Callithrix jacchus: one gene and its partners. The main gene of each other region encodes a partner of the protein of the gene in region 7 in a complex. Links are inferred from orthologs where the notes say so. Each region holds a gene or a part of one and is shown on either strand. Other genes may lie near its edges. The genes, in order: TMEM17, CEP290, AHI1, TMEM67, TMEM231, TMEM107 and B9D1.

Region 1 (4,097 bases), on a different chromosome or scaffold from region 7:
TCTTCTACTTATCTACGGGCTCACTGCAAGCACAGACCATGTATTACCCTAATCTGGGAACCTCAGAATCTAGCATCTTGCTTTACACACAGTGAATATCAAATACACATAAGCAACATAAGCAGAAAGAATGAATTAATGAAAGCATACTGTCATAAGGACATTACTAGTATAACCATTTGTGATACATGAGTTCCATTTACCTAAGGTTTATTCCATAACACTTTTTGCTTTTATGTAAGAGAAGGGTCTTAAATTAAGAATTTGATTTTTAAAATTGAGCCCTATACAATACATCCTAAGTTTAACTAAATTCTTAAGAGCAGATACATATACTGAAATCAGTTGCTCTACACGTAACATTTTAAAGGCTCTAAAATAAATTTCTTTAAAACAGTATTTTTCCCTTGTCTCCATAGCTGAGTGTTTTTATCGGTCATTTAAAATATAAGAAATAATCATGGTCTCTCAAAGCAAAAGTTTCCTTTAGCTCCAAGAATATGCCTGATTATTATGACCTACTTTTGCTTACATCCGTTTATTAAATTACCACTGGTAAAGGAGTGAACTCTTAAAAATCTGTTAAATTTGGCCAGGCATGGTGGCTCATGCCTATAATCCCAGCACTTTGGGAGGCTGAGGCGGGAAGATCGTGAAGTCAAGAGATGAGACCATGCTGACCAACATGGGGAAACCCTGTCTCTATGGGGGTAATTTTGTAAAAATACAAAAATTAGCTGTGCATGGTGGCACACACCTGTAGTCCCAGCTACCCGAGAGGCTGAGGTGGGAGAATTGCTTGAGCGCGGGAGGCGGAGGTTACAATGAGCCGATATCTGGCCACCGCACCCCAGCCTGGGCGACAGAGCATGACTCCATCTCAAAAAAAAACCCAAAAAAAAAAAACCTTAAATTTGAAGACAACTCACCAGCCTAGGATCTTTTTCATAGCAACAGCACAATGCTGTGGACATGGTAATGATAGGAACTTGTTATTACAGCACAAAGAATCAGATCCACAAAGAAGAAAATGTGGGAAAGAATAATAAATTGGGCAAGCTGAACATTTCAGTACCTTTGAGAAGAAACTGTAGTCAAATTTTGCGAAGAATGGTTTTTATGTTAGAAGTATTGTGTGTTAATATCTTAAAGGTTATGCTATGTCCCTATTTCAGCAGATCAAAGTTATAATCATGGAAATGAAAATCAAGTTAATATGTAAATGAAACTTAAAAGCATAAGATAAATTTACTAAAGTTTGCAAAAGTTCAAGTTGAGTTCTGTAAATGGAATTTAAATTAAAACATACAATATAAATCAGGGATGATAAACTACTGGCCAGATGCCTGTTTTTGTATAGTTGATGAGATAAAAATGTTTTTTCATATGTTTAAATGGTTAATAAAAGAAATATTTTTTTCACACGAGAAATCCATATAAAATACAAATTTCAGGGTCCATAAAGTTTTATTGGAACACAGCCATGCCTATTCAATAACTATTATCAATGGCTGCTGTGGAGACCATATGGCCTACAAAGTCTAAAATATTTACTATCGGGCCCTTTTCAGAAAACGTCCGTTTTTACCTTCTATTATCAGATGTTAGTGCTCATTAAGCCTCATCCTTGGAACCAGAAACATCAAAACTTAATTTTTTCCCGTTTTTCTCTGTATATCCTAAATGACAAAGGCCTACATTTGGGGAATAGGCAAGTGATCAAGGTGACAAAATGCAGCTATAGGAACTGACTTTACTTTTCTCTGTCCCTTTTTAAAATTTGCTAAAACCAAGCAGAGGAAAAGATTTCCATTTCCCAGCAGAGCTGAATGATGAAAACCACATGGGTTTGGTTGACAGTGTGTTGTCTACCATCATGATGTAGGAGAAGGAAACTGTTTTGGAGGAAATTGCGTTATCACTTGTCATCAGGTTGAAGGATGCAGAAGCATCGTGGTATTTTGTTACCTTATGGTAAGAGTTACATATAGGGGAGGTGGAGAAGGCAGGGAAGAGGTGAGTTTTGTTGAACAGACAGCCAGTATGGCACATGCCAGTTGAGAGTGAATGGTGGTTTGAAAGGACTCATTAAAAATTTTGTTGTTGTTGTTGTTGTTTCAAAATTTCTTCTACCAGCAAATGGCCTTGAGGAGGAACATACTTTTCTGCTAGGAAAAGAGAAAAGGCAAATGTGTTCCCTGGGACGGGGGTGGTGGGATTGCTTGGGCTGCTCCCCGCCATCCTGCCCAGAAAAGCCCGGGCGGGCGAAGCCGAGAAAAAGCAACTTGGGCTTTTGCCCTCATGGCGCGCGCGGGACCAGCCTGTGCAGCAAACGGCTTTTATCTTTTTATTTTTGGGGTTTCTCTGGAGCAATGATGGGCCTCGCCTAGCACAGAGGTTGGCCCCACCTCAGCTGCCTCTCTCATAAAGAGCCGGCTGGGCTGCGGCGGCACGCGCAGACCAGGCCCGGCCCTGGGTTATCCGCCCATAGGCGGCCCGCGCCTCAGCTCCCCGCTCGACCCGGCCCCTCCTCCAAGGCGCTAACTAAGACTGCGGAGAGCTAGCTGAAGGCGACGTCGCCATTTTAGGTCTGGGCAAATTCTGGAGGCTCCAAAACCCACGCTAAGCCCTTGGCGGGCCACACCCGGTGCGCCGGGCCTAGTCCACTCACCGGGACCCTCATTGTACTCCGGCCCAGTCCGATTGGAATCACTGAACACGGCCCGGCTGAAGGTTCCCAGCCGCTGGCGTACCGGATCCGGCAGGTCCATGTCTGGGCCTCACTATCCCTCGCCCCCTTAGACAGAGGCTGGTCTGTGGGCGCAGTCGCGCTCCGTGGTTCCCACGGCAACCGGGCGGGGCGGAGGCGGCGGGACCCGGGAGCGCGCTGGGCTGCCTGGCTAGGCTGGGTCTCGTCGGGAGCCTGCGCACCTGGAAGGGACCGGCTTGCCTTGGGCGAGTTCCAGGCCCCGGGAGCTGCGTGCCTTGGCCGTGTCCAAAACGGCAGATCCCTTATTCCTGCTTTGAGCCCTATCACCGTAAAAACAAACCTATACTAAGAAATGGGCTGGGGTTGGACTGCGATACAAGGACCCCTCACATCTTGCCAGTGGAACTACAAATCTCTGCAACCTTTCTGGAGGGAAATAGAGAATGAATGCAGAACTTAAAGAATGTCTAGAGGTGTACGTGTGTGCGTGTGTGTGAGAGAGATACTGTGACTGATTATCGGAAAATGCAGCAACGGGCAACTGATGAAATGTACTGGAGCATATGCATTCAATGGAGTATGTTTCAGCTGCTTATAAAATGCTGGCAAAGAATATTGAATGATACGGTTTATGTAAAAATTTAAAAAGCAGAAATAAAACTAAATGAGAATGAACCTAATTTAGCAAAATTTATGTGTGTAAATATGGGTGGAGGAAAGGAGGGAGTGTGTGCACACTGGTTTGAAAAAAATGGAAAAAATCTAAAATGTTAACTAGTTATCACTGGCTAGTAGGATTGTGGATGATTTAAAAATTGTTAAACATGTCTATATTTTCTAGCTTTCTCTCAAATAAGATATATTACTTAAAAAATTTTAAGTGCAATATACATACATAAAAATTGTATACTTTTTTAGTAATAAAGATATATTACTAAAAAAAAAACTAAGTGTAATATACATACATACACAAACTGAATCTACATGTTCAACCAGCACCCTGTTCAAGAAACAATCTTACAGTATCCCCAGAAACTCCCTCTTCCCTTTCAGTCACTAAACTCCTTCCCTACTCCTAACTGACCTTTCCTGAATTCTAACAGCAAAGGAGAGTTTTGCCTTTTTTTTTTTTTTTTTTTTTTGAGACAGTCTTGCTTTGTCGTCCAGACTGGAGTGCAATGGCGTGATCTTGGCTCACTGCAATCTCCTTCTCTCGGTGCAAGCAATCTTGGCTTACTGCAACCTCCACCTCCCAGGTTCAAGCGATTCTCCGCCTTAGCCTCCCAAGTAGTTGGGATTACAGGCACCTGCCACCACGCCCGGCTAATTTTTGTCTGTTTAGTAGCGATGGGGTTTTGCCATGTTAGTCAGGCTGGTCTCGAACTCC
Region 2 (3,500 bases), on a different chromosome or scaffold from region 7:
ATAAACATATAACAAATGAAAAAAATGAAAGTGAATGTTAGTAATGTCCATTCCAATATAATTTGAAGATTTTATTGTAAGTTCCCACAGTTGTAGAAAAGTCAATGGAAATCCTAAATAAAAATTTGTCATGTGGCTTGAGAAAAGATAACATTGTGTCTTATTTTACTTTAGAATGACCATTACTTTCAACTAAAATCATTATGATCAATAAAGTAATATTGTTTGTTGATATGGCATTTATATTTGTATATATAAATTGTAAATCTTAGGTAATCAACTGGCATATGAAAATAGAAGAACTTCGTCTTCAAGAGCTTAAACTAAATCGAGAATTAGTCAAAGATAAAGAAGAAATAAAATATTTAAATAATATAATTTCTGAATATGAACATACAATCAGCAATCTTGAAGAAGAAATTGTGCAACAGAACAAGGTTTTATATTTGTTTTGTATTTTCTAAGATTTTAGATAAGAATATTGCACAAATGACTATGTTATTCTAATTGAATTCAGCTTTTATTACTAATTGATTACATAATAATTTTTTCTTATTTTTTCAACTATTCTGAAAATTTATATTTAGTTTTTATAACATTAGTCTTAAAAAGGGCAATATATAGACAACCTCATTGATAAGTTAATTTTTATTTTGAGATTGGTTATTTGACTTTTCACAGTTCCAGGTTTCTACTGGCTCTCACTGACAGAGTAAGAAGGCAGCTTGTTATAGAATAAAGTGTGCGCTACAGAGACAGATGAAATTCATCAGACATATGACTGTCTCAGAGATTGTTCCCTCTGCTTAAATTGTTCTTACCATAAATACCCGTGGTGTTTACACTTTCAGTGCCTGCAGGTCTTAGCTCATATGTCTTATCTTATCAGTGCATCCATCACCAGCCACCTAAGATACAACCGTAAATTCTACTGTCAAGATTCCCTAAATAGAGATTATCTTAATTTTTCTCCATAGCACTTGTAACCTTCAGGTATATTACATACTTACTTGTTTATTATTGACTGTCTCTCCTTCACCAGAATGTAAGTTCCATGGTGACATGGACTTGGTTTTGTTTACCGCTGTGTTTGTACTGCCTAGAATGATGCTTTGCACACAATATATATAATTAAATATATTTTGGATGGATGGATGGATGGATGGATAGAGAGATTTAAATTACATCTGCCTTTCTGCCTTTCTTACTTCACATGTGCCTTTCTCTGTGATCTTACACAAGTTACGTCACCTCTCTGAGTTTATATTATTTTTCATAAAAGGAAAATAATTACAGTTTCATCAATGTGTTGTGAGGATTAGTTAAGAAAAAATATATGAAATGCTTGTTATGTGCCTGATGTCTTTGTGTATGTGTCTGACACAAATTGTCTTTTGTTAGTTTCATGAAGAAAGACAAATGGCTTGGGATCAAAGAGAAGTTGACCTGGAACGTCAACTAGACATTTTTGATCGTCAGCAAAATGAAATACTAAATGCAGCACAAAAGGTATGAATGATTAATCTTGTTTGCTATTCTGTAGCATGGCCTAGAGTGTTAATTCACAGAAATATTTCCTGTATCAGATATAATTTTAACTGATGTTATATTTGTATATATTAATTGATCTTATATTTGTATATTTAAAATATGAGGGGTTTAATCTATGTTTTATCATAAAGCCGTAAAAGTTAATATTGTTATTTTCAATGCTGTAACTGCTTTTTTAAGAAAACATACTATTTGTTAATAGTTTGAAGAAGCTACAGGATCAATCCCTGACCCTAGTTTGCCCCTTCCAAATCAACTTGAGATTGCTTTAAGAAAAATTAAGGAGAACATTCGGATAATCCTAGAAACACAGGCAACTTGCAAATCACTTGAAGAGGTAATTAGAAAAAATTGCATTTTGATTCGTGTATTCTTTGGAATGTTTGTGGGGGGTGTTAAATAATGTTTCTTTATGAGGATGATGCATAGAATGATGAATCTGTTGCTAATTTCACTCTTTTTCTGTTCTCCTTTAATGCTTCTAACAACTGATAATGAATAGCAGATATGGTTAATTTGAATTCACTGTTTGTTTTTTTTTTTTTTTGAGACGGAGTTTTGCTCTTGTTACCCAGGCTGGAGTGCAATGGCGTGATTTCAGCTCACTGCAACCTCCGTCTCCTGTGTTCAGGCAATTCTCCAGCCTCAGTCTCCTTAGTAGCTGGGGTTACAGGCACACGCCACCATGCACAGCTAATTTTTTGTATTTTTAGTAGAGACGGGGTTTCACCATGTTGTCCAAGATGGTCTCGATCTCTTGACCTCATGATCCACCCGCCTCGGCCTCCCACAGTGCTGGGATTACAGGCGTGAGCCACTGCTCCCGGCCCTGAATTCACTATTTAGTTATAACTTGTTACCTTTAGGTTCACTGATCAGCACTAGCGTGAAAGGAAAAAAAAGCATTTAATTGTAGCTTTATGAACCATATATTATTTTCCTTTATATGATCTTTCCTTATTTTTTTGGTTTTATTTTGAAGTACATGTTACATAATCTATTAATCCATTTTCAGTTCATTCCTTTTTATGCATGGCTAAAGGGTTGAAGGTAAATTAGAAATTATTTTCTGTTTTAATCTAGATCTTGACTTTGGTTAGTAGGTGATCAAATCTGTCATCTTTATTAAATTATTTTGAAAATAATTAAAAATATGATTTTCATGTTAGTTTCCATATAAATATATTAACCCCAAATACACTTAAAAATATATGTAAAGGAGTTTTTCAAGTAAAATTGTACATTTTTAATCAGTTCAGGAAACTTAGATTTTCCTCAGTAATTGTAAGATTTGTCATTTATGTGAATTGCCACTGAATCACTTAATTTAAAATACCTTAATCCTCTTGAAGAGTAAAAATTTTTCTAGTTTTTTTTTTTCTGTTTTGTTTTAATAAAGTGCAGGTTTTATAATACTAATTTCTTGACTTGGGCCACTAAAATTCCAGTTTTGTACTTCACTGACTTTAGATTAGTCTTCTAATGCTCTGCTAGTCAATGGACCAAAATAAAGGAAATAATTTATTACATATTCTTCCTAAATCTAGCACAACCACACATTTGTAGTTCTAAACTGTAATATCTCAATAAAGTACATTAATTAAATTTTATTTTTGTTGTAACAGTGAAGTTTCTAACATATGTAATACTCTTATAAACTATGTAAATAAATGTTGTCAATTAGAAATAGTTTAACCTTATTAAGTATCAAATGGCTATTGTACATATGATGAGAAAAATAAAGTGAATTTTTTTTTGCTAATAACCTAAAATTCAGATGAAGTATTTAAAGGAAAAAATATGCTTTACTGATTTATTGTGATTTAATCATTGCAGAAGCTAAAAGAGAAAGAATCTGCTTTAAGGTTAGCAGAACAAAATATACTGTCAAGAGACAAAGTAATCAATGAACTGAGGCTTCGATTGCCTGCCACTGCAGAAAGAGAAAA
Region 3 (3,500 bases), on a different chromosome or scaffold from region 7:
GAACTGCAGTTAAATCTGTCGAGTCTGTCAGATCTGTTTAAAAACAGTCCCTTCTGTTTTTAGAAATTCTTATCTAAATAAGAATAGAATCTTGAAAATTAATTGTACATGTGGTTTTGGATGTATAAAAATTGGAAGCTTCCTTATGTGATTTTAAACAAAAAAATTAATGTTAGAAGATGAGTTTGTTGGAAGTGCTTCTTGTTTGGGACTGACTAAATTTGAGGAAAGTAAACATAGTACAAAAACTAATTAAATTAGTTTAATTAGTTTAATGCCACATACTAATTAAATGTGGCGTTCCATAATAGAAATACAGTTCATGAGCTTTATTTTGAACCTAAACTGAAGTTACTCAGAATCCTTTTGCTAACAATTATAAAGCATCCTATACAGCAGAATTGGAAATGATATTTTAAAATTAATTTTGTACCTGAAAAAAAGCTTAACATTAGACAAACTTTTCATTAGTAGTATTTTTTTATCATTTTAGGAAATTAAAGAAACTGAGTTTAAGGGGGTTCCAATTAGTTATCTGGAGGTTCATCCCAATGGAAAACGTTTGTTAATCCATACCAAAGACAGTACTTTGAGAATTATGGATCTTCGGATGTAAGTATATTTCAGTATTGACAGGCTAAGTACTCACAGAATAAGTAATGAATTAAATTATATTTATAAAACATGGTAGTGGTTCTCAACTAGGCAGTGTCCCCACACTCACCAGGGAACATCTGGCAGTAGCTGGAGATTTTTTTTTATGTTACTTCTAGTATCTAATGAGTAGAGATAAAAAATACTGCTAAGCATCCTACAGACCATAGGACAGCTTCCCTACAACAGTTATCCAGCCCAAAATGTGAATAGTTCTGAGGCTGAAATGTAGTTAGTTGCTTTTGTTTTCACAATTTAAAAAAAAAAAAAAGGAAGTTTCTGTCTTCTACAATGATACTGACTGATACTGATATCACTATGATACTGTTATAGCATTAGTATAATATGTTACAACTGAAGGAGAGGGTTTTGATTTATACATCTGTGTTTTTTTCTTTATTTCCAAATAATGGTGAATGTAGGGAAATATCCTTACTGTAAAAGGCAAAAGCAATGCTGGGAAGTCAGCATGGACTTCTAGTACACTTTTGTTGTGGTGTTAAGAGTTTCTGTAAAATAAATGAGAGAAAGCTATTTTATTAATGTCTTTCTAGTATTTAGAAAGGCAAATGTAATTTATTTTAGTTTAATTTTGTATCTTTTTAGGGTTAACTCTTATACCCTTCAATATTTATGTAAAACACTTCAAGGAACTGTCCTGGATGCTGTGGGAGAATAAGCAAAATTAAACCATTTGTTTATAATCCAGTTGTGTACCTTCAAAATAAAACCAAAAAACTTTTAATTAAGCTAAAATGTGAGACCTTCTAGGACTGGAAGCTACTTTTTTTTCCCCCCCTGTATGTAGCATCTATGCTGTGCCTGGCAGCTAGCAAGTGTTCAATATGTATTTTAATGAATATAAATTTGTAATAAAAGGACTTTATTCTTCATAGCAGCAATAGAGCTGACAACTATAATATAGTCTTCTGTTAAAAGCTCTATTGAGCAGCTGCCATTTAAGCTCAGTCTTGAAGGATGGGTAGAATTTCGACAAGATAAAATATTTCAGTAGAATAGAAAACAAAATAAAGTTCAGAAGTGAAATAATAGGCGTTTAAAGCAGAGTGAGTTAGTCTGTATGAGCATAGGTTCTTGGCAAGGAATACTGAGAGAGAATTTTAAGCAGTATAGTTTACAGCTTAATATCATGCTTGGGCTCTGCAGGACATACTACTTAGAGTTAAATACTGCCTTCTCTACCCCTTTACTAGCTGATCAATCTCTCCATGTGCCTCTTTTCTTATCTCTCAAATGAGAGAAATAATACACCATACACATAAGGGTTTTGATGGGGAATAAGCAACTTAATACATGTAAAGTATTTAAAACAGTAAAGCACATAGCAAGGACCCTAGAAAAGTTAGACCCAGTAACTCCAGATCTGGAAATTTATGTTAAGAAAATAATTATACAAGAACAGAAAATGAAACACCGCATATTCTCACTCATAGGTGGGTGATGAAAAATGAGAACACATGGACACAGAAAGGGGAGTACTAAACACTGGGGGTCTATTGGGGGGAAAAGGGGAGGGCCAGTGGGAGGGGGAGGTGGGGAGGGATAGCCTGGGGAGAAATGCCAAATGTGGGTGAAGGGGAGAAGAAAAGAAAGCACACTGCCATGTGTGTACCTACGCAACTGTCTTGCATGCTCTGCTCATGTACCCCAAAACCTATAATCCAATAAAAAATTAAAAAAAAGAAAGAAAATAATTATAAAACAGTACAAATGCTGTAATATGTATATACACACAAGATTATTTATAGAAATTGTGTTCATGGTAAGGGAAAGCTGGAAACATTCTAATGTCATCCAACAATAGATTTAATGTACCCATTAAAATGTTTATGTATAATCTATATTTTCTGACACGAAGGTCCATTATGACTTATTTTTGAGTGAAAACAGCAGATTACAGAGCAGTGTATCTAATATTCTCTCTGTAAATCAGGGACAATAATAGTACCTACCTGGCACAAAGTATGTGCTGAAATGGTGGTAACTATTATTTCATGAGTGAAAAAATATGAAGGCTTTGTACTATATTTAGTAGATGATTTAATATGTTTTATCTAATTATTTTCACAGATCAAATATTCCTTTTATTGTTTTAAAAATTCATCAGGTGGAAGAAACTATGAGTAAAAAAATTATTATTATTATTATTATTATTATTATTTGAGACAGAGTCTTGCTCTGTCACCCAGGCTGGAGTGCAGTGGCACGATCTCAGCTTACTGCTACCTTAACCTATTGGGTTCAAGTGATACTCCTGCCTCAGCCTCTGGAGTAGCGGGGACTACAGGCATGCGCTACCACACCCAGCTAATTTTTTGTATTTTTAGAAACGAGGTTTCACCATGTTAGCCACAATGGTCTCAATCTCCTGATCTCGTGATCCGCGCACTTCAGCCTCCCAAAGTACTGGGATTAGAGGCATCAGCCACTGCACCCAGCGAGTATAAAAATTCTATCCATTTTTTAGTAACCAGCTCAAATGCTACTTCCATAAAGTAGTCTCTCTCCATAGTTAAAATTAATTTCTTTTATCCAAGTTTGAAAAGAACTCTTCTGTTTTTCTTTTGTAGTACTTTGTACGTCCACCTTCTATTTTACGTTGACATGTTTCTTCTCTCCTGCTAAATGATAAACTCCCTGGGCTCCAGGGATTAGCTCTTGTTTATTCTGTATCCATCATATTATAGAATGTCTCCCATATGACAGATTCTCAAAAAAATGTTTGTTGAATAGAAATTAAGTATTTAAGAGAAAAAATTTTCTACCACCATTCATTTACATGGTTAAGACAGTTAAATTTGTAAAATCTTTTTTGCTTATAGATT
Region 4 (3,500 bases), on a different chromosome or scaffold from region 7:
TTAGTTAGAATGGCTGCAAGAAGCTATTGGTATAAGAAACACCTGACAATGGCCTTCTCTTAACTCATGTGAATGTCTTCTTTTGTTTTTTTTAGATAGGGTCTCACTCTGTTGACCAGGCTGTAGCGCAGGAACATGATCATGGCTCACTGCATTCTCAATCTCCTGGGCTCAAGTGATCCTCCCAACTCAGCCTCCAGAGTAGCTGGGACTACAAACGGATGCCACCACACCAAGCTATTTTTTTTTAGCAACAGGTTTTCATTATGTTGCCTGGGTTGGTCTTGAACTCCTAGGCTCAAGCAATTTTCCCGCCTTGGCCTCCCAAAGTAATGGGATGACAGGTGTGAGCCACCACATCTTGGACTTGAATGTCTTCTGATTGTTTAAACTTTTCATAAATTTGGAAGGCTTTTCCCGCAAATTACCTGAAAATGCAGGATTTTATAACATGAATAACAACAAAAGAAACTAATTTGTCCAAAAAAGTATATTCAGGACAGCTTGAAGAAAAAGTCCCAATTTACGGTTCTACTAATGTTTCTCAGGATATACCCTTAGCAATAGTATAATTTCTTAACAATATGTCTGGCAATAAAATTAGTAAAAATTTCTAAATCCACCAGCAATTTATTGCTTTATTTTTGGCATGCTGTATGGAACCATATGAAAGAGGATTCATGACCTTTCTTATAATCAGTGGTTTATTAAATTATCATGTGGGTTAACTTATTGATTTATTTCTGCTCAGGGAAAGAGTGGTTATGTATGGATGTCTTACCTTGGTTCACAAACATCTTATTGTGCTGAAGATTTAGGTTTAACACAGGCACAGCCAAAATATATTGATGTTGATTTTCAACAGTATATTCAAGGTATACATCATAAAATATAGGAGTGGGAAAGTCAGTTAAGATCTTAGAGATGGGAATCTCACACTGAAAAGTAAGATTAGAAATAAAAGCATATAAAACAGCAACTTAAAGTACTAAAAAGTAAAATAAAAAGATAAAAGATCACAATTGAAAATTAGCAAGCACATTTATCATCTTCAGAGTGTTTTTCTAGTTTTGCAAAATATCTTTACACTACCTTGTCTATATGCATTTCCATTTGGCTTCCAAAGCATGAATACCGTAAATACGATTATTTTATAAGAACCAAAAACACCAACAGTAAAGAACTGCTTTGTTCTTGAGCCTCAACTTGGATGAAGAAGGTATGCCTTCATTCTCAATAAGTGTACATCCATGAAAAGGCTTAAAACTACCGTCCTGTGGGATAAAGTCCCATTTTTTTCTCCTGATGTACAATGATGTCTATGATCTGGCTTCCATTAACCAAGCCAGGCTTATCTCTCATTACTCCCTATCAGTCTGTGGTGGTCCATTCATACTAACCTACTTGCAGTTTCTGAATATGGCATGCTATTCTATGTCTCTCTGTCATTGCAAATGCTATTCTATGTCTTTCTGTCTGACATTTCCTTCTCCACTGTGTTCTCCTGGCAAACTCATATTCATTATATAAGCCCAATATCACTTACTTTGTGAAGCCTTTCTATAGTTCCCCAGAAATCAGTACCTTGTACATACCTATAGAATGACACTTACCACATTCTTTGCAATTCTTTGTCTATATAACTGTTCTGCCCACTAGGCTATGAACTACTTGAGAAATTAAAATGCTTTTTAAACCTGATGGAACATTGGTTCCACAGTTTATGTGACACAAGACTTTGAGTAAATTACCTAATTATTTGGCATTATTTCCTCATCTGTGAAGCACAGATATTATGTATCTCACATAGTTATTTTATAATAATAATGATAAAATGCTGAGCATACAGAGACAGGCATTGCATAGGTGTTGATCTTCCTGGCCTATGTTAGACGCACAATAACATTTATTTTAAAAACAACAACAGGGCTGGGTGTAGTGGCTCACGCCTGTAATCCCAGCACTTTGGGAGGCCGAGGCTGCTGGCTCACTTGAGGACAGGAGTTTGAGACCAGCCTGGTCAACATGGCAAAACCCTGTCTCTATGAAAAACACAAGAATTAGCCAGGTGTGGTGGTGCACGTCTATAGTTCCAGCTATTTGGGTGGTTGATGCACGAGAATTGCTTGAACCCAGGAGGCAGAGTTTGCAGTATGAGCCAATCTCACCACCGCACTCCAGCCTGGGTAACAGAGTGACACTGTCTCAAAAAACAAAACAAAACAAAAAACCATAGATAACAAGATGCTCTGTTTATGCCACTTAAGCTTTTCTGTACCAAGATAAAAAATTATATTAATTAGTGAAATTATTCATTACTATTAAAACATTTCCAATCTCAAAAATTTAAGTATTATTCCAATTACTGTTGATGTGATATTTTGAAAAATAAAGCTAAAATATAGACTAATATAGTTCAGACTTACATTTTGTTGATAGGTTGTTCCAAACGAATAAGCAGCATTGAGCCTTGTCTCTGTGTCTGGACAAAGCTACAGTAAAAGAATACAATAGATAAATATCTCTCACAAATATTTTCTATGCTTATACTCAAGAGTTCTCAAACCCAAAAATGTATATATGCTCTACATAACACTTATTTAACGTATTAAGGATATGAAAAGTTAAGGGAACATCTATTATAAATTAAAGTCATAACTTTAAAAAAAAAAAAGAGGCCGGGCATGGTGGCTCACGCCTGTAATCCAAGCACTTTGGAGGCCAAGGCGGGTGGATCACCTGAGATCGGGAGTTCAAGAGCAGCCTGACCAACATGGTGAAACCCCGTCTTTAAAAAATACAAACAAATGAATAAATAAAATTTAAAAAATAAAAAAAAAGAACAAGAAATTCTCGTTTAAACTACCAGGAAAAAAAAAAGTCAACTGTAGTATGTAACTGATGCTCTATTCATACAATAATCTAGTCTTTTCCTCTTGTCTTTGCCTCAGGCAAAATCTAGTCTATTTCTAGGAAAAGACTAGGAAATCTAGTTTTTTTCCTCTTGTCTTCTCAGGAAAAGCCTGAGGCAAAGAAAAGAGGGAATAAACAAGGCACATTATTAATTCTTTAACTAGCATTATGCTTACCTGTAAAACACCTCCTTCTAAAGTCTGCCACTTGAGAAAATTTCCTCTTATATCATAGGAAGCAGCAACAAACTTCAGTTTTGTATTCTAATTAAAGAAAACAAGAGCAAAATCAGGTCAAATACTCTGAAAGTAATACAATATCCTATAAAGAAATTTTCATTGTTGACTCATCTTTTTTGTTGAAAAATTTCATTCAATTACCTTTGTTTTCAGGCTTAATCTATTTTTATGACTAAACATACCTAAAAGAATTAGGCTGGTTTTTTGCATGAAAATTATTATTCTAGAATTGAGAGGCAGCACTAATGATAGATAAGCTCCTTTCGAATCTGTTAAATGGGAGGCAATGTGGGAGAATAGTGTCTGCTCAATCTGGAAGCTCAAAAAGTTAGAGGTGGGAATTTAGCC
Region 5 (3,500 bases), on a different chromosome or scaffold from region 7:
TTTCATTGATCCTTTTACCATTATGTAATGCCCTTCTTTGTCTCTTTTGATCTTTGTTGGTTTAAAGCCTATTTTATCAGAGAGTAGGATTGCTACCCCCGCTTTTTTCCCCCCTCTCCATTTGCTTGGTAAATCTTCCATCCCATTTTGAGTCTATGTGAGTTTTTGCACATGAGATAGGTCTCCTGAATACAGCACGCTGATGGGTCTTAACTTTTTATCCAGTTTGCCAGTCTGTGTCTTTTGATTAGGGCATTTAGGCCATTTACATTCAATGTTAATATTGTTATGTTTGAAGTTGATCCTGCCATTTTGTTACTGGCTGGTTGTTTTGCTCGTTAGTGGATGCAGTTTCTTCATTGTGTCAATGCTCTTTACCACAGTGGCTGGTACTGGTTGTTCCTTTCCATGTTTAGTGCTTCCTTCAGGAACTCTTATAAGGAGCTCTGTTGGTGATGGAGTCTCTCAGAGATTGCTTGTCCATAAAGGATTTTATTTCTCCTTCACCTATGAAGCTTTGTTTGGCCGGATATGAAATTCTGGGTTGAAAGTTCTTTTCTTTAGGGATGTTGAATATTGGCCCCCACTCCTTTCTAGCTTGTAGGGTTTTGCTAAGAGATCTGCTGTGAGTCTGATGGGCTTTCCTTTGTGAGCAACTTGACCTTTCTCTCTGGCTGCCCTTAGGACTTTTTCTTTCTTTTCAACCCTGGTGAATCTGATAATTATGTGCTTTGGGGTTGCTCTTCTTGAGGTGCATCTTTGTGATGGTGTCTGTATTTCCTGGATTTGAATGTTGGACTGCCTTGGTAGGCTGGGGAAGTTCTCCTGGATAATATCCTGAAGAGTGTTTTCCAGTTTTGGATTCATTCTCCCTGTCACATTCAGGTACACTGATCAAGTGTAGATTAGGTCTTTTCACATAATCCCATAGTTCTTGGAGGCTTTGTTCATTTCTTTTCACTCTTTTCTCTCTAATCTTGGCTTCTTGTTTTATTTCATTTATTTGATCTTCAATCTCTGATATGCTTTCTTCTGCTTGATCAGTTTGGCTGTTTAAACTTGTGTTTGCCTCACGAAGTTCTCATGCTGCATTTTTCAGCTCCATCAAGTCATTTATGTTCTTCTCTAAGCTGGTTGTTCTAGTTAACATTTTGTCTAACCTTTTTTTGAGGTTTTGGGTTTCTTTGCATTGGGTTAGGACATGGTCTTTTAACTCAAAGAAGTTTGTTATTACCCACCTTCTAAAGCCTGCTTCTGTCAATTCATCAAACTCATTCCCTATCTTGTTTTGTTCCCTTGATGGTGAGGAGTTGTGGTCCCTAGGAGGAGAAGAGGTGTTCTGATCTTTGATGTATTCATTCGTTTTGCGCTGGTTTCTTCCCATCTTCATGGATTTATCTCCTTTTGATCTTTGAAGTTGGTGATTTCGGGAGGAATCTCTGAGTGGTCGTCCTTTCTGCTAAGTTGGAGCTGTATCTCCTATATGAGGTTTTGTTGTTGTTGTTATTGTTTTGCCTGTAGAGGCGCTGCTGGGCTGCCTTGCATTCAGTCAGACTGCTGGGAGTTCTTCCCCAGGAGTTTGTTTATGCAGGTGAGGTTAGCCCCGCCTTCCCAATGGGAGGGCATCTTTCCTTCCCTGTGCTCAATCTTCCCTGTCAGAGTCAAACTGGTGTATTCCTTTCAACACTCTAGCGTGCCAAGCTTCAGTTTGTTGGGTTTTGTGGGGGTGGGACCTGCCAGGCCTTATGTCCTGTTCCCCTACTTTCAACTCTGCCTTTTTCTGTGGGATGGGTAGTTTGGTCCTGCTGGCATTAGTCCAAACTTCCACCCAGGTACCTACCAGGCAGGCCGCAGCCTGTCGCTCAAATTCGCATAGAACGAAAACCTGCAGCGCCCCTCAGTCAAGCAGGACTCTCGTGGACCATGGGTAGCAGGAGGGATGAGGGTAGCACAGGATCCGAATTGGAGCGCAGAGGGGCTGAAGTTCCTGGCTCTCCGAGCCAGCTTCACTTTCCGGATGAAGACACACCCGCCCTATCTCATTTCGCCCTCCCTGGGCTGCTCTCGCCTTGCTTCGGCTCACCTTCCCTGGTCTATTTTATCTGTCCTACCAGTCCCACTGAAACTAACCCGGCACCTTGCTTCCAATCGTGGAGTCCTCTAGCCCCTCTGCCTCTCACTCGCTGCAAGCTGCACTCCGGAGTTGCGTCCTCTCGGCCATCTTGGCAGCTCCCCCATCACGATTAGGCGTTTTCGTATTTTAACGAGCTGACTTCTAGAGGCGTAGAAGACGATTCTGACGTGCTACTTAAAATTTCCCTAGAAATCCAGGCATGTTTATAAAAAAGAAAAAGATACCAGTGTAGGCTGGGTGCAGTGGCTCATGCCCGTAATTCCAGCAGTTTGAGAGGCCAAGGTGGGTGGATCACGAGGTCAAGAGGTCGAGACCACCCTGGCCAAAACAGTGAAGCCTTGTCTCTACTAAAAATATAGAAATTTGCAGGGTGCGGTGGTGCGCACTTGAGATGCTCAGGCAGGAAAATCACTTGAGCCCAGGAGGCAGAGGTTGCAGTGAGCCGAGATTACGCCCACTGCACTCCAAAATGGGTGACAAGAGTGATAGATACTCTACCTCACACACGCACAAAAATACCAGTGTAAAACAAGATCAAGTGATGCAACTGAAACGCACAAATGCTATCCAGATGTTTCTGTTATTGCCCATTTATTTTGGCCAGTGAACATTTGAGAGACTCACATAGGAAGTTCAGGGGCCATGCACTTTGTATCTCTTTCCCCAATATTAATGCGCTTACCCCTGTCTATTTTTCTCTTTTTTTGGGGGGTGGGGGAGATAATGCCTGTTGTGTACAGCAGGACCGTGGGTCATTGTGTATGTATAGAAGTGATGTGGATTCCTCCCAGACTCATTAGTGACCAGGGCTGCTGGCCCTGTTTGGGTGTCCTAGACTAGAGAAGAAGACAGGAACCAGGATGGGAAGATGGACATGTTACATTTTAAGCTGGAGCTTCCCCTGCAGTCCACGGAGCACGTTCTCGGTGTGCAGCTCATCCTGACTTTCTCCTATCAGTTACACGTGAGTCAGTCCGCTGGGAGGCCGTCCTCTCTCTTGTGTCTTTTTCATAGACCAGAGCCCTTCTTCTGATTTCTAGAAGACCCATACCGTAGCAGGTCCTCTTCCCCATGTAGTTTGGGATCGCTTAGGCCAGCTGAATGTTTTTCACTGGAGTCATATTAATTAATATGGGCTACTAATAGCTCAGAAGGTTCTAGGCAGTGTTTCCTGCATGACTGTGCTGGGTGCGTGAGAGTCCCTTAGGTTTCAGCCAAGACAGCTGACTGTTAGACCCAGAGCCCTTCAGATCTGACAGCGGTTGGTATTGTTTGTTTTTCTAATGATTTCAGAGGATGTCAACCTTCGTGATGCAGAGCATGGCATTTCTTCAGTCCTCCTTTGCTATCCCTGGATCCCAGTTAT
Region 6 (4,265 bases), about 8.6 Mb from region 7:
TTTTTTTTTTTTTTTTGAGACAGAGTCTCGCTCTGTCGCCCAGGCTGGAGTGCAGTGGCGCGATCTCGCCTCACTGCAACCTCCACCTCCAGGATTCAAGAAATTCTCCTGCCTCAGCCTCCCGAGTAGCTGGAATTACAGGTGCTCGCCATCATGCCCAGCTAATTTTTATATTTTTAGTAGAGACCGGTTTTCACCATGTTGATCAGGCTGGTCTAGAACTCCTGACCTCAGGTGATCTGCCCGCCTTGGCCTCCTAAAGTGCTGGGATTACGGCCATGAGCTACTGCGCCAAATTTTCTAAAATAAAGTTTAAGAACAAATGCCCCATTCTTTTTATAGAATTATAATTGTAGCGTTTCCCTTTTCATAGCATATAGTATCTTGCGGATTTGTTTGCATGTCTATTATTGATCTCCCTGACTAGAATCCACCTACTAGGTAATCAGTAAATACAAACAATATTTGAAGAAATGAGAAATGCCTCTTGGGCATATATTTAGACTGGCTAAAGGCACTGAGACGGGGAGTGAGGAAGAGGAAGCGGTTGTTCTCCGGGGAAATGAGCCGGGAGGACCCTTGAGAATGGGACTTGACAGCATTGCGAGAAGAAAGAGCTTTCCGATCAGCGGGGACCTGCGCTGAAACCCAAAGGTCATGAGGTTGCCGATGATAAGAGCTTCTTGGACTGTAGCTGGGTAATGTCGGAGGCCCAGCACCTCCAAGAGATAAAGAAATCTGATTTGAGTTTCCGTTCCAGTCAGCTCCAAGCCTCCCAGGGATGCAGGGACTGTCCATTCCCTCCATCCACTCCCACCCTTTCCGGTCCCCTTGCTCTGCCATTTTTTGCACTCTGCAAATCCCTCACCAAACTGAGCAAAGTTAGACTGAGAGAAATCAGTCTTCCTCAAGGAAAGTTCAGGCCTGGGGTCCTCAGACATCCAGGGGCTCCGTGACAATCTGTGACTGCTGAGCAGTCTAGGGACACCGCCTCTCCAAGTTCGGGACCCTTGTTTCTGAGGCCAGCTTGGTGGGAAGCTAAAGGCATACGGAGGAGGGGAAGGGGAGCGTGTCTGAGTCTTCGGCATGGCGGGGACCCGGACCTCAGCCCGGCATGGCGGTGGCGCGGCCTCAGGAGATCCACAATTGTCGGTGTAGAAGGGGCTGGGGGCCGCTCCCGGCAACTGCGGAAGCCGAGGTGCCCCCAGGCTAGCCCAGGTCGGTTTCCGTTCGTCGGTCCTGGGCGGGTAGATCGGGCGCTGCGGGGCCGTGCCACCTCGCACCCTCTCAGGAACAAAGGGCTTGGCTACGCGCGGATACCCAAACGTTGGGTTAGAATGGCATTCGGGGAAGCCCTGACCTGCGCAAGCCGGAAGAGGCCAGCAGCAGCTTGAGAATATACTGCTCTCGCGATGTTTTTCGAGAACGCGGCGCCGCGTTCGCGTACGGAGTTACCAAGGTAACTGGGCGGTGCCTGAGCGGGCGGGAAGGAGGCGTTCGTCTAGATTTTGTCCGCTTGCAGGGAGACTTCAGGAGTCGCTCTCTTTGAAATTCCGGCCTCTGAGACCGCCGCCCCTGTTTCCAAGGGCCATGGGCCGGGTCTCAGGGCTCGTACCTTCTCGCTTCCTGACGCTCCTGGCGCATCTGGTGGTCGTCATCACCTTATTCTGGTCCCGGGTAAGACCCACGGCTGACATCCGTCCGCCCCTATTCCCACCTCGGAGTGGTCCCAGCCCCATCTTGCCCCTCTCCCAGTGTCTTACCCACTTAGGTCTTCTCGTTCCCCGCCGCCCCCAGGCCTGCCTCGCCGCCCGTCCCTTTTTCACTTCTCTTCCTCTCTGCTCTGCTCCCAGGACAGCAACATCCAGGCCTGCCTGCCTCTCAGGTTCACCCCCGAGGAGTATGAAAAGCAGGACATTCAGTGAGCTCTCTCGGAATGGGCTGGTCAGAACGGAGAGGTGGTGGGAGTGGAGGGTTCTTAGAAGTCCAAGGGCCTGAGGCTGTCCACTTCCTTTCTGCAGGCTGGTGGCCGCGCTCTCTGTCACTCTGGGCCTCTTTGCAGTGGAGCTGGCCGGTTTCCTTCTAGGAGTCTCCATGTTCAACAGCACCCAGAGCCTCATCTGTATCCTTTCCTCCTGCTCACCTTTCCCACACGACCATTTCCATCAGGACTCCCTTCAGCCACCTGACACCATAGTGTCTGCTGTAACCAATCTCTCCAGTTCGGATATCTTCAAACATGTGCTAAATCCTGCTGTTTACTAGGCACTTAAAATCCCAAAATGAGAGTAAAACAGTTTTCGGCCAGGCACGTTGACTCATGTCTGTATTCCCAGCAGTGTGGGAGGCCCAGGCAGGAGGATTGCTTGAGGCATCATAGTGAGACCCTATGTCTACAAAAATAATAGTAATAATGAGAACTTCACCTTTTTTGTTTATCATGAGGAGGAGGCAGACACATATCTGTAATTCAGTGATAAGCAGGGTGCTATAGGAGTGTGTAAAGAGGGGTGGGCGCGGTGGCTCACGCCTTTATTTCAAGCAACTTTGGGAGGCCAGGACAGGTGGATCATTTGAAGTCATGAGTTTGAGACCAGCCTGACCAACATGGTGAAACACCATTCTCTACTAAAAATACAAAAATTAGCCGGGCGTGGTGACGGCACACCTGTAACCCCAGCTACTCAGGAGGCTGAGGCAGGAAAATTGCTTGAACCTGGGAGGCAGAAGTTGCAGTGAGCCGAGGTTGAGCCACTGCACTCTAGCCTGGGCAACAGAGTGAGACTCCGTCAAAAAACAAACAAGCGGGACACGGTGGCTCAAGCCTGTAATCCCAGCACTTTGGGAGGCCGAGGCAGGTGGATCACGAGGTCAAGAGATTGAGACCATCCTGGCCAACATGGTGAAACCCCGTCTCTACTAAAAATTCAAAAATTAGCTGGGCGTGGTGGCGTGTGCCTGTAGTCCCAGCTACTCAGGAGGCTGAGGCAGGAGAATTGCTTGAACCCGGGAGGCGGAGGTTGCAGTGAGCCGAGATTGTGCCACTGCACTCCAGCCTGGTGCCTGGTGACAAAGTGAGACTCTGTCTCAAACAAACAAACAAACAAACAAACAAACAAAAGGTAGAAAGCACAATGGGAACTCAGAAATGGCAAAGGAAATGAAGCACGTGGGTCAGAGAACTGTGAACCAGGAGTGCTAGAACCCTGGAGGCTGATTCCAGCAGAGCATATCAATTCGCTGTCAGCACTCCTGTGTGGCATGGTAGGAGAGCCTACTCTTACCTCTCATCTGAAGGGTCCAAGCTGGCCTCTAGATGTGGGGTAGGCTAGCCTGAGGTCCCATCTATGCAGTTACTTCTGGTCTCTCCTCATATGACCATCCTACAATTCAGAAGTCAGGGCTGCTGACTCTAGCCCTTGCAATATGGTGAGGGAGCAAGCGATGAACCTGAGTGCAGATGCCAACCCCACCACTGATGTTTTCTGATCCATCACTATCTGTCGATCCAAAGACTTTCCTTAACTGTGGTGCCTTCCCAAGCCATTGGGGCTCACTGTAGTGCATCCGTGGCCCTGTCCTTCTTCATATTTGAGCGTTGGGAGTGCACTACGTATTGGTACATTTTTTTCTTCTGCAGGTGTGGTAACACCCAATATTTGGGGATGAGGGAGGAAGGTTTACCCTAAATCTGAAAGTTTTCCCCCACCCGGTCCCTTCTTCCATGCATGAGATCCTGTAGTCTTTTTCATCCCCCATCCCCATGCCACCTGCCCTATACTTTCAGGGGTGGGGTCTCTAGTTTGGAGATTTGCATATTTATATTGAAAGGATTTCTGAATCTACCACCTGCTTCGGTAGTGCCCTTCCAGCTGTCACTGAAATGGCTTTATTCATCGCCATCTTTGGGCTGAAAAAGAAACCTTTCTGATCACCTTCCTGATGGTCGAAGGCTACATGGGAGGCCGCTTCGTATTCCTGGAAGAAGAAAGGCATAGGCTTCAGTCTTCCCCTTGGAAACTGCTTCTGCTAGAGGATATGTGTTGGATGTATGGGATTATCAGCATTGTATTTAGTGTTTTGTAATAAAATATGTTTTGTAGTAAGATCAAGAGTTATATAGTTTTCAGGGGACAATTGGGATGGCTTAACTATTGAAGAAAAAAACAACTACGCTGTTTTCTAGTCCTGCAGACCGTAAGATACTTGATATCGCTTCTATTTTGGTTATTACGGTAGACGTCTGGGGGAAGGAAGTGGGCGGG
Region 7 (3,500 bases):
GCAGGAAAGCAGCTGGAGATGGAGCAGGGAGGCACCAGGGTGGATCTTATAGGACTTAGAAGGTCAGAGTAAGGACTGTGACCTTTACTCAAAGGGATTGGGGTCCCCGTGGAGAGCTTTCAGCAGACAAGAAAGCGATCTGACTTGTGTTTTTAGAAGATTCCCTGGTTTCTATGACAAGGATAGACTTCAGGAAAGGGCAAGAGCAGGCAGCACAGTTGGCTTTGACAGCAATGCAATGAGAGAGGAGGGCAGCAGCGGTATGGTGGCGGGAGGGCTGGACTGCAAGTACACCCTGAAGATAAAGCCGCTGGGCTCTTCTGGTGGATGTGGGGTGTGAGAGAAGGAGGAGCTAGAATTCACAGCAGGGCTTTTAGCCTGAGCACTGAGAAGTAGGGAGCTGCCTTTCAGTGAGAAGAGCAGATTGGGGAGCGCTACCTGGAGCTCAGCCTGGTGTGGGTTAAGGTTGAGGCGCCCACTGGAGGAGGTGCTGATCCACAGTACAGAGGCAAGGACCAGGATGGAGACATAAATTTGGGAACCTTTGACATCTAGAGCACATCGAAAGCCATGAGACAGATGAGATCACCAAGTACAGGTAGAGGAGCTGGCCAAAGATGCAGCCTTAGGACGGCACACTGAGAAGGAACCAGCAAGAGCCACCAAGCAGGGCCACCCTGTGCAGTGGAGAGACCCAGAAGCCAACGGAAGACAGTGTATCAAGGAGGAAGCAACTGTATCAGGCGCTGCTGATGGCTCAAGTAACACAAGGACGGAGAAATGACTGTTTTGCATCTGGCAATGCTGATCATGGACATTGTTGGAGAAAACCCTTTGGTAGAGTGCTGGAGCCAGCAGTCACATTGGAGTGGGGTCACAGAAGAATAGCAGGGGAGGGGCCCGTGCAATGGCTCATGCCTGTAATCCCAGCACTTTGGGAGGCTGAGGAGGCAGATCATGAGGTCAGGAGTTTGAGACCAGCCTGACCAACATGGAGAAACACCATCTCTACTAAAAATACAAAAATTAGCTGGGCATGGCGTGCCTGTAATCCCAGCTACTCAGGAGGCTGAGGCAGAAGAATCACTTGAACCTGGGAGTGAGCCGAGATCACTTCACTGCCTTCCAGTCTGAGGCGACAGAGTGAGACTCTGTTTAAAAAGAAAAAAGAATGGTAGGGGAGAAATTGGATCTGGTGAGTGAGGCAGCTCTTGGAAGCAGTTTTGCTGTAACGGAAGCAGAGAATGGGTTGGTGGGTGGAAGAGGCAGCAGAGTTGAAAAAGGACTGTGTGATGGACAAAATACATCTATGTGCTTACCAATGGGGATGCTCGGATGCGGGTGGGGATGCAGGGGAGTGCAAATACTGCTGGACCATTTCCTTCCGTGTAGCAAGAGCTTGGGAACAGATCCCAGTGCCCTTGTGCCTGGGAGAGTGGCTGGCCTCCCAGGGTTGTCACACACACTACCACATTAAAGTACCACACTTAAGAGGTATTCCATCATCTCTTAGTCCCCTTTGTTTGAAATCTAGTGTCTTGGGAGAAGATAGCTGAGAAAACAGCCTTCCCAGCTGCCTGCTGAAGGTAAGGGAGGAGCCACAGCAGCTTGACTCTGATCTGACTCTAGCTGTCTCTGTCATTGTCCCCACAGGGTCTGGAAGAGGGGATCTCACAGATCACATCTAAGAGCCAAGATGTGCGGCAAGCACTGGTGTGGAACTTCCCCATTGATGTCACCTTTAAAAGCACCAACCCCTATGGCTGTGAGTCTGCAGGGGCCCTGCAGGGTAGGGTGGCAGAGCTTTCACACAGCACCCCCAAGACGGCCTTTGCCTCATCCAGCCCATGACTGTTCACATTCACATTGTCACCTGGGCTCTTGAAGCAGCCCTCAGCACTCTCTCTCTCACCATCTGTCCCTTTCCCTCCTCTTCCTCATCTGTGCTCACCCTGGTTCATCTGCTACAGCTGTGCAGCTGGCCTTCTGGAAGTTCAGAGTGGATCAGGGCCAGTGACCATGCCTGTAAAAGGCAGGCCCCTCCCTGGTATGCAGGGCTGCAGCTGTCTGGCCTGGAGGTCTGACTCCGTGCCTGTTGACTTCCCGTGGCCTGTTGTGTTCCGACCAGACCCTGGCACTTGCTCCTCCTGTGCTAGCCCCTCAAGTTCCTTCATCTGAGCTTCATTCATGCTGATCCCTCTCTCCAGATAGCCTTCCCATGTCCTACCTCCAACCTCTTTCCCAAGGGCTTCCTGGCTGGCATTACTTATTTTCTACCCTGCCTGGTGCTTATTAACCACGCTGATCTTCCACTTGCACTTAATAAGTGCCTACTGGCTTAGTCTCCATGGGACATTGAATACTTTCCCTATGTGAACTCATCTGAGCTTCCCAATCATACCTGGTAGGTAGATTTCTCTCCATTTCTTCTCCCATATGAGGAAACTGACACTCAAAACTGACTTCACTTGCCTTCTGCTTTACATCTACTGACCAGGTGTGGATTTTCATTCAGGCCCCTCTGATTTCACGATCTAGGCCTTTCTGCTGCATGTGGCCTGGGCCTAGGCTCACCACAGTGTTGAGGGTCAGGAGCAGAAAATGCCTGGTGGTCCTCTTGGGCAGGGAATTCCATTCTGCTGTCATCATCTATGAATAGGAAGCTGCAGTCGACTTCCTGTAATAGTGCAGTAAGTACTATAGGAACTCAGCCAACCTCCTCCTGCTGAAGACAGGTAGGAGAGGTAAATGAAATACACAAAGGCAAAAACAAAAAGCAACTACCTCAAAGGCATCAGAGAGCTAGTGAAGTAGAAGAGATTTACCAGGCAAGATCCAGGAGAAGAACAGAAATCCAGAGGTTACCCCCATCCCATCTCCCCTGGGAGTGTTTGCTGATTCCAATAGAGGTGATTGAGAGACTGATCAAGACTTTTGACAGCCTCTCTGGGCCCAGGACACACACAAAAAACTGATGTTCAGAGCCTTCCAAGGGGTTGGGAGGAGGGCCTCAGGTAAATCTCTGCAAACTGGGTTAAGACCCAAAGAGCTGCCCTAGGAATAAGGGAGAGATGGAAGCAAAGCAGCCTCACAGGGATTGTAGCCTGGCCCCTGATAATTTCAACCTCCTGATTTTTGCATTCAGCTCCAAGATTGTTACACCCAAGGCACCTGGCAAAAGCAAATAAGAAACCTCTTTTGGCTAGGCATGGTGGCTCATGTCTGTAATTCCAGCACATTGAGAGGCTGAGGCAGGCAGATCACCTAAGCTCAGGAGTTTAAGACCAGCCTGGGCAATATGGCAAAAATCCGTCTCTGCTAAAAATACAAAAATTAGCCTGGTGTGGTGGTGGGCACCTGTAAACCCAGCTACTTGGGGGGCTGAGACAGAAGGATTGCTTGAGCCCAGGAGGTCAACGCCACTGTACTCCAGCCTGGGTAACAAAGTGAGAACCTGTCTCAAAAAAATAAGAAAAGAAGCCTCTTTGGAAAAATATAAC

What was found.
Region 1: B9D1 (region 7) and TMEM17 share a complex: the UniProt entries of both Homo sapiens proteins name them as parts of the tectonic-like complex. The link is inferred for Callithrix jacchus from reciprocal best matches to the Homo sapiens genes B9D1 and TMEM17.
Region 2: B9D1 (region 7) and CEP290 share a complex: the UniProt entries of both Homo sapiens proteins name them as parts of the tectonic-like complex. The link is inferred for Callithrix jacchus from reciprocal best matches to the Homo sapiens genes B9D1 and CEP290.
Region 3: B9D1 (region 7) and AHI1 share a complex: the UniProt entries of both Homo sapiens proteins name them as parts of the tectonic-like complex. The link is inferred for Callithrix jacchus from reciprocal best matches to the Homo sapiens genes B9D1 and AHI1.
Region 4: B9D1 (region 7) and TMEM67 share a complex: the UniProt entries of both Homo sapiens proteins name them as parts of the tectonic-like complex. The link is inferred for Callithrix jacchus from reciprocal best matches to the Homo sapiens genes B9D1 and TMEM67.
Region 5: B9D1 (region 7) and TMEM231 share a complex: the UniProt entries of both Homo sapiens proteins name them as parts of the tectonic-like complex. The link is inferred for Callithrix jacchus from reciprocal best matches to the Homo sapiens genes B9D1 and TMEM231.
Region 6: B9D1 (region 7) and TMEM107 share a complex: the UniProt entries of both Homo sapiens proteins name them as parts of the tectonic-like complex. The link is inferred for Callithrix jacchus from reciprocal best matches to the Homo sapiens genes B9D1 and TMEM107.

Annotation. Positions count from the first base shown.
Region 1 is NC_133515.1:51,607,283-51,611,379, reverse strand, and holds the start of TMEM17 (transmembrane protein 17), read right to left. Parts: upstream 2,801-4,097; 5' UTR 2,772-2,800; coding exon 2,672-2,771; intron 1-2,671. UniProt on the Homo sapiens protein: Transmembrane component of the tectonic-like complex, a complex localized at the transition zone of primary cilia and acting as a barrier that prevents diffusion of transmembrane proteins between the cilia and plasma membranes.
Region 2 is NC_133510.1:93,099,044-93,102,543, forward strand, and holds part of CEP290 (centrosomal protein of 290 kDa), read left to right. Parts: intron 1-272; coding exon 273-437; intron 438-1,401; coding exon 1,402-1,509; intron 1,510-1,753; coding exon 1,754-1,888; intron 1,889-3,387; coding exon 3,388-3,500. UniProt on the Homo sapiens protein: Involved in early and late steps in cilia formation. Its association with CCP110 is required for inhibition of primary cilia formation by CCP110.
Region 3 is NC_133505.1:142,163,750-142,167,249, reverse strand, and holds part of AHI1 (jouberin), read left to right. Parts: intron 1-493; coding exon 494-612; intron 613-3,497; coding exon 3,498-3,500. UniProt on the Homo sapiens protein: Involved in vesicle trafficking and required for ciliogenesis, formation of primary non-motile cilium, and recruitment of RAB8A to the basal body of primary cilium.
Region 4 is NC_133517.1:33,398,869-33,402,368, forward strand, and holds part of TMEM67 (meckelin), read right to left. Parts: intron 3,177-3,500; coding exon 3,090-3,176; intron 2,493-3,089; coding exon 2,427-2,492; intron 939-2,426; coding exon 782-938; intron 1-781. UniProt on the Homo sapiens protein: Required for ciliary structure and function. Part of the tectonic-like complex which is required for tissue-specific ciliogenesis and may regulate ciliary membrane composition.
Region 5 is NC_133521.1:32,947,265-32,950,764, reverse strand, and holds part of TMEM231 (transmembrane protein 231), read left to right. Parts: intron 1-2,969; coding exon 2,970-3,098; intron 3,099-3,427; coding exon 3,428-3,500. UniProt on the Homo sapiens protein: Transmembrane component of the tectonic-like complex, a complex localized at the transition zone of primary cilia and acting as a barrier that prevents diffusion of transmembrane proteins between the cilia and plasma membranes.
Region 6 is NC_133506.1:74,652,738-74,657,002, reverse strand, and holds TMEM107 (transmembrane protein 107), read left to right. Parts: upstream 1-1,465; 5' UTR 1,466-1,590; coding exon 1,591-1,677; intron 1,678-1,853; coding exon 1,854-1,921; intron 1,922-2,021; coding exon 2,022-2,122; intron 2,123-3,543; coding exon 3,544-3,640; intron 3,641-3,861; coding exon 3,862-3,931; 3' UTR 3,932-4,106; downstream 4,107-4,265. UniProt on the Homo sapiens protein: Plays a role in cilia formation and embryonic patterning. Requires for normal Sonic hedgehog (Shh) signaling in the neural tube and acts in combination with GLI2 and GLI3 to pattern ventral and intermediate neuronal cell types.
Region 7 is NC_133506.1:83,255,613-83,259,112, reverse strand, and holds part of B9D1 (B9 domain-containing protein 1), read left to right. Parts: intron 1-1,653; coding exon 1,654-1,765; intron 1,766-3,500. UniProt on the Homo sapiens protein: Component of the tectonic-like complex, a complex localized at the transition zone of primary cilia and acting as a barrier that prevents diffusion of transmembrane proteins between the cilia and plasma membranes.